Mus musculus: one gene and its partner. The protein of the gene in region 2 purifies or fractionates together with the protein of the main gene of each other region. This does not show direct contact. Links are inferred from orthologs where the notes say so. Each region holds a gene or a part of one and is shown on either strand. Other genes may lie near its edges.

Region 1 (3,649 bases), on a different chromosome or scaffold from region 2:
GCACACGGCTCTGCCCAGGGTAGGCTGTCTGCCCTGCTTCACAGTGTGCCATACAGAAGACTCTCCTGACACACACTGAGCAGAGTCCCTGGGCAGAATGTGAGCATCGGTTCTAATTTAGATTTTGCATCTGGTGGCAGAACCACTTGATGCGTCCCAGGTCACGATCAAACCTCTAGCACTGGGGCCCCCATCCCAGTGGCTCAGAGGGTTGGGGGAACTCACCACAGATGTCTCAAAGAATTCCAGGCCTTGACTCAGTGCCCATACCTGGGCCTGAGCTGAATCCACTGTTTGTCGGCCAGCCAGGTCTGTCTTAGTTCCCACTAAAACACCTGCTCAAAAGAAATAACCACAATATTAGGTTTTGAGGTGGCAGGGTGGCGGCAGAGAGAGGGGCGTGTGACACATCAAGTGACAGAAGCTGCCCACTTGAGGGAATATGTGCCAGCAGGGAAGGTCCCCCAAGGCCACAGAAGACAGACTGGTTTTGCTGTGCACAGGCAGCTCAGCTCAGCGCCGTCACACGTGGCTTCAAAAATATATCTATATTCCTCACCTCCTTAGGGCTGGAAGCACCAGGCAGGCCTGGATCAGGTTTAGAAGAGCATTTGTGCTAATTCTCAGCTCATGGAGCCAACATCGGACGTGGTCATTAATGCTAATCTCGGGCCTGGGCTCAGACTCAGGGACTCAGGTAATTGAGCTCCGTTCCCAGCTGCCTTGGCTGTGCTAATTTCTCAGTCCGTCTCTGGAGGCCGCTTTCCCTGGCCTCTAATGAGGAGAATTTGTTGATCTCACACAGGGATGAGAAAGAACCTGATTTAAAGCGTGCAGGAGTGACAACCGGGATGGAATGTAACTTGTACCCAGTGTAGAGGGGGAGATGAGGGATTCTTCCCTGGAGTTAGCTTTCTGGAAACATCCATTCGGAACACAGCGCCTTCCCTTCTTTTTATCTCAGCCCGCCCAGCTCTGCCTGGTGGGTGGCATTGTCTCCCCACCCCCATGCTCGGTAGGTTTTCGAGAACATTTAGAGGCTGAGCAAGGACGCTGAGGTCAGAGAGTCAGGGATTCAGGCTCCTGTTCTATTTCCACCATGGCTTGCACAGTGACCTGATGAGACCCTTGAGTTGAAGGACGGAGTCAGAGTTGGAGAAAGGCCCATCTACAGTTTGATACCTGGGAGGGAGATGCCTGAAGTCTGAGACCGGACCTTCTCCAACCACTTGGTGCAGCTGATGAAGGACTGTTCATTGGTCACATCATAGACAAGGCACAGGACGTTGGGATTCTCCCACTAAGCGAGAGACAGGAGAAGCCTGCTTTAGGGATGTGACAGGGACTCTTGGATGGGGACAGGGGTGGGGAGGGGGAGAAAAATGGGCTTCGGGGGGAGGTGGGTAAGAGAGGGGTGTGAGCTGAGAAACTGTCCCACCCACAGATGGCCACAGGTCACCACAGATGAAGGGATGCCAGGTGCAGTGGCACTCATGAGGGACAAGCAAGGGAAAGAGGAACTTGAACCTGGGTTGGGGGAATCCCTACTCAGAAGATGGCAGTGGCTGGCAGAGGCAGGCACCGCTCATCAGGAGCTGCCTGTCAATCACTGAGATGCCCCAGTCAGTAAGGTTGTCTGGGAGAGTCTCACTTTGTAGCCGAAGCAAACAGCTCAGAGAGGATGCTGACTGGGGAGGGTTGAAAAACGCTCAGGAAGGGCTATTAAAAACAGCAGGCTGGGGGGGGGGCATTGGGCAGCTACAAGGACTGACCAGCTTCGTAGCTCCTGGCACATTCTGGAGCTGGGGCTGACCATGATGGATGGGTAAGGAGGAACATCTATATTTGCCATGTGGCTCAAAGACCCAGTAGCAGGGATGCCCCTTAGAAGATCCTGCCTGGTCACTTCTGATGCTCCTGGGGCATCCCACCAGGAGCCCCACAGGGACAAGGGGTTGGGCGGAAGTGGGTAGTGAAGGAAAAGAAAAAAAAATCAGCACACTACTTGCCAACTTATCCAGCATTTCAGAGAACAGCTCCTTGCCGGCTGAGTCAAAAATGAAGAGTTCCTGGGACCAGAAAAGCTCGTGTCAGAAGAGAGTGCAGGGAGAGTTGGGCCGAGCTGTCCCACTCAGCTTCCCATACACAAGGTTTGCGTGGAGAGCGAGTGAGCATGCCCATGCGCGTGGCTGCCTTCACACGTGCGCTACCGTCTCCGATGCCCCAGAGAGATGGCGAGAACAGACCGGAGTGTCCGAGAGGCAGAGGTATAGGCTTCTGTCCACCTGGTGTGACCTGGGTGGCAGGTGGCTCACCTTGTCCAACCCCAAGCACAAAAATCGCGCGCGGGGGGTGGGGGGGAGGGGGAGGAGGCTGACTGCCCACCTGGCAAGACAGAATGCTAAGCAGGCTGGCAAGGGTCCTGGTGTCCAAAAGGCCACTCTGTACTTTGTTAACCAAATGGACTCTCAGAGCGTCTAACAATTCTTGGTAAAGGAGGTCGCTGAGGAGGCCTGGGGAAGGCGCTTAAAGTAGGACAGCCTGTCACTGCTCTGAGGCAGTGAACACGGGCTCTGTACACAGAGTTCCGAGCCTTCCCAGCCCGGGTGGAGACCCTCCCAGATGCTGCTGCTTGCTTGAAACCCCCTCAGAGGTCCCTGAGCCCCATCCTGGTGCCCAACCTCCTGCCTGGCTCTAGACCCTGAAGGGCAGCACTGCCTGCTCCACGGACTGGCCCTGTACAGTGTGGTTCCTGTCTCAGCCTTTCCTGTGGGGGGGGACTTCTGTGCCTTTCTTTTTGCTCAGATGTCTCCTTACACATCCGATGAATGCAGCCTGGGAGAGGCCAAACAAACATGACACGATGCTGCACCAGTCTCCCCCAAGAGCGGTGAGAGTCTTTGGAGGGACCCGGTTAAGAACTCAGATAAAAGATAACAAGTTCCTTTTGGTGAGGCCTGGCATCCCAATCCCCTCCCCGGTACCCTAGGCCCTCCCTCGAAGGTTCCCCGTGTCCTTGTTCCACGATTCTATTACCCTTGGAGTGAGGGAACCCCAGCTCACAGGAGCAGCCCCAAGTGACTTCAGGGCCAGGGTAGCACTCACCACACTGTCATTTGTGTCAAGAACTGGCACTGTCTTCACCACCAAATCCACTCCAGTTGTCTGCAGGGGACACCAAGATCACAGGCCTTAGGGGGCCCCACACTGGGGCAATCAGAATGAGCCAAGTCCCCACTTCCTTGAAGGAGGTGTTCCCAGCCAAGCAGAAGTCAGAGGCCGTCAGGACTTCCCAATCTCTTTAGTGAGAGTTTTGGTTTAAGAAAAGAGATATGTTACGTTCATATTTTTGTTGTTGTTTTAATCCCAGGTGGGAGATGTGGGACTGCTTCAGTCTGTCCTCAGCAGCTGACTGTGATTTGCCTCGTGCTCTGGTGGGGGCGCGACTTTGCCAGCTGAAGATAGTTTACCTTTGGAATTCTGGGGACTATTCAGAGGGTAGAAAAATACCATAGTCTGAGAGAGGAGGCTGCTGCTCCCTCTGTTCCTGCTCTCTAATGTCCTGAGAAAGGTCTTTCTCCAAGGAACTTGATGCCCCTAATCACCAGGAAGTAGTTTCTAATGATAGGGACTCACCCTTTCTCTCCCA
Region 2 (3,649 bases):
ATCTGATGCCCTCTTCTGGTGTGTCTGAAGAAAGCAACAGTGTGTCATATATTTAAAATAAATATATTTAAAATGATGGCACTAAAAATAGCCTTTTATGCAGTGTATGCCTGAATGCCTCCCCTAATGAATAGATACAATTTACTTAAAAAAAAAATTTTTTTTTTCTAGAAGAAAAGTATTGATTGTCTGTGTATGTGGTATTAGGGATTAGACTCAGAGCTTTGCAGGAAAAATAATGAAATAAATAAGCACATGTGTTAGCCCTGAGCCACAACCCCATCAACGTATGTATGCCTTTATTCTAGAATTTTCCCCAGTAAGAATGTCACTTCAGCGCTGTCTCAGAACAGCTTCCTCTGAAGCCCAGGCCTGGCTCTCCCCTCACCTCCATCCCACCCGCCTTGTTCTTTCACATCCACTTCTATCTTTGTTAGGATCAAGGCTCTTAAATTAGCAATATGGCCTGACAAAGAACAGAGTGGATTTCTCCCCCGTTAACCAGGACTTCCACTTTGACAGCCAGCTACTCGATTTTGTAAAAATTTCAGACTGTCATAATGCTTTGAAAACACCTGGTCCATGTTCTTTTCACTTTGAAAAATTGCTCAAAGCAAATACAGCATATTATTGTCTACATTAACATTTCACGAAGTACCTGTGAATAAATCCAGGGAGTCTCATAAAATCTAATGGATGAAAAGAGAACTAAGAAAGGCAGATGATTTTGCACTGGAGCCATAGGAGGCAGAAGAGGTTACACTGTAATGGAAGACCTGCTCTCTTACTCTGCCTTGTGGTCTTTCTGCTAGGCAATGATGACTCAGACATAGACATCCAAGAGGATGATGAATCAGACAGCGAGTTGGAGGACAGACGGATGTCTAAGCCTCGGACAGCGATGGAGGTGCTCATGCAAGGTAATGTAACTCCTTCTGTCACCCAGTTCCTCGTGCCTGTTTCTCAGAACTCCAAGGGCAAGCTTGGGTGAGTGCTGCTTAGAACTGCAAACCACAGTGTGCTGAGAAGGGTCCCTGGAAACACTTCCTGTCCCAATCTGTTCTTCAGGATCTGTCTCTCAAACTGCATTGCCTCTAATAGTCCTTTTGTTTGATTCATGTAGCTAAGCTGATCTTGAATTCACAATGTACCTCAAGATGACCTTCAACCTGATACTCCTGCTTCGGCCTCCTAAGCATTGAGATACAGGATGCAGCACTATGCCCTGCGCATGTAATATTCTTATCTCTGTCCCTGGGAAGAGCTGGTTCACATTTGTGGTTTCAGATTTCCCACAGATATCTCAGAAATGGCCTCTGTATCTGAGCTCTCTGCACTATTTGTTTTGGTCAGTGCAGGTCTATCCCTTGTGGCCAAGGAATTAACACAGAAAAGGTGTTACATAAGAGCCTCTTACAAACCTCATTTGATGGATGGGAGCCAACACTAGAGAAACTGTAACTTGCTCAATGTTAGTTTTGTTCCAAATTCTGCTTAAGTACTTGCAGAGTAAAATCAGGTAGCACAGTTCCAGAACCTATGGCTAGGATCTGCAAATGCCATAAGACTTTGCACTTGTCTAACAGTTCTGGGCCCCCCCCCCCAGCAGCGCCCCTCTCCTCCTGCACTGTCTGGAGCCTAGTCACATTTTCATTCTGAAGCTTCCACCTCGATCCAAGTACAAGTGACACTGGTTCACAAAAGAGGAATGTTTTTTCTTTTTCCATAGATAGCAACAAAGTTCTACTGAATGTGACCTAACAGTGGAGTTCAGTGATGTTTCCTCCCCAAATACTAAGGAGATATGTTTTTCTTTTTTAACTTTTTATTGGTTCTTTGTGGGTTTCACATCATGCACCCCAGTCCCCTCATATCCACCCTTGCAACTACCCCACCCCCAATAAAACACACACAAACAAAGCACAGGAAACATCTCATCATGGAAGCTGTAGTGTGTCACAGTGTGTCCCACAGTCTACCCCTCTGTCCACACATCTCTTGCAATGAGTCATTGCAATGAGTCACTCATCTGGTTCAAGATCTCTGACTTCTGTGACACCGTCAACATTGGATCGTCATTAGAACTTCTCCTGGTTATCCTATTGTTGCCCCGTGTCATGGAGATCCTGTAGACTGACCCTTTCACGCCTCCCAACCATTCACTAATGATAGAGATTTTGGAATGGACCAATTCAGAGTCCTAAATCTGGGCCTGGGTGGAAACTGGCTCTCCCTTATCCCCACCACCAGGGCTAGCTAGCTCTCCAGCACTGCTCCGGCTAGGCTAACAACAGGAGGCAGGGTCAGCCCTCCTGCTCTTGTGCCCTAGGGGCCAGCTCACCTGTACCCATGCCTCCAGAGCCAGCTCCACTGTGCTGCCCAGCAAGGAGCAGGGCCCAGTCTCCTAAGTGCTGCAGCCTGCGAGGGCTGGGCCAGTACTCACACCCCCGGGACAGGCTCACCTGTGCCTTCACCGTAAGTGCCAGCTCCACTGTATTGCCCAGGCAAGATACAGGACCCATTCTATAGAATGCTGCAGCCAGCAAGGGGCAGGGCCAGCTCACTCTCCCTTGTGATTCCAGGGTTGGCATTCCTGACTGCCTTAGGTGACAAGGGGAAAAGGGGCAGAGGGCTAGTAGCAGGGCTAGCTTTTCCTCACTCTGTCCTTGGGGCTTGCTCACCCACTGCCCCTCAGCCAGTGCCAGCACTACTGTGCTGATTAGGTGAGGTACAGGGCCCACTTTCCCGAGTGCTTCGCCTGACCAGGGGCAGGGCCAGCTCTCCTGACTGCCACACTCGGTGTGCTGCAAAGGAGGCAAGGCTTCACCCTGCACCTATGCTGCCTCATGGTAGACAAATGGTAAGGCGCTCTCCCGAGTTCTCGACCTCTGGGCTGGCTCACATGCACTGCCCCCACCCCAATACCCCACACCCACTCATGCCACCAGGGTCAGCTCTGCTGTGCTGCTCAGGCGAAGTGCAGGGCCTGCTCTCCTCAGTGCTGTAGTTGGTAGAGTCAGGGCCAGCTCTCCCAAGCTCATGACCCTGAAGGCAGCTTTGTGGGGTGGGGTATATCACTTCTGTGTCTGTGCCACCCCATGGCAGATGAGTGACGAGATCAGCTCTTCTACACTCATGCCCTCAGGGCAGGCTCACTCACTTCTGCCAGCAGGTCCAGCTCCACTGTGCTACCTGGGCAAGGTGTAGACCACCTCTCCCAAGTGCTGCCTCTGGGGGGCGGGGGACAGTTCTCCAGAGCAGGACATCCAGTGAGAGGCAGGCCAGTTATGCTCAGCCCCTGGACATCTGCATGGCCTCCATCAGCTGCCCTGGCCAGGACATCCCCATGTTCTCTAGTGGAAGTATGAGCCACGGACACCAACACCAACCTCTGCCACAGTGTAGCCAAAAACTCACACATGGCCCTGAGTGGCAGCTAGGCTAGGACCTCATCATGGCCCCAGGTGGTGAGTCTGGCCACTCCTAACAAGCTACCCTCTCCACCCCAGTTCCATCTCTTCATCATGCTCAAGCTGCTCCACTTCTCCTTCCATCTGACCAGCACATAGTTGTTCATTGTGGAGGCTCCCACTGCAGGCTGGCCGCATGGCTGGTGGGCCCCTGGGCGACATCCTCCATCCATGCTGTG

Evidence for each region. Proteins that work in one complex are often made in the same cells at the same time.
Region 1: the proteins of Cluap1 (region 2) and Ift27 purify together in Homo sapiens (affinity purification with mass spectrometry; 3 studies listed by BioGRID and IntAct, with this or other methods). This does not show direct contact. The link is inferred for Mus musculus from reciprocal best matches to the Homo sapiens genes CLUAP1 and IFT27.

The regions. Positions count from the first base shown.
Region 1 is NC_000081.6:78,163,965-78,167,613, forward strand, and holds part of Ift27 (intraflagellar transport protein 27 homolog), read right to left. Parts: intron 3,166-3,649; coding exon 3,106-3,165; intron 2,070-3,105; coding exon 2,010-2,069; intron 1,301-2,009; coding exon 1,183-1,300; intron 336-1,182; coding exon 226-335; intron 1-225. UniProt on the Homo sapiens protein: Small GTPase-like component of the intraflagellar transport (IFT) complex B that promotes the exit of the BBSome complex from cilia via its interaction with ARL6. Not involved in entry of the BBSome complex into cilium. Prevents aggregation of GTP-free ARL6.
Region 2 is NC_000082.6:3,932,895-3,936,543, forward strand, and holds part of Cluap1 (clusterin-associated protein 1), read left to right. Parts: intron 1-812; coding exon 813-920; intron 921-3,649. UniProt on the Homo sapiens protein: Required for cilia biogenesis. Appears to function within the multiple intraflagellar transport complex B (IFT-B). Key regulator of hedgehog signaling.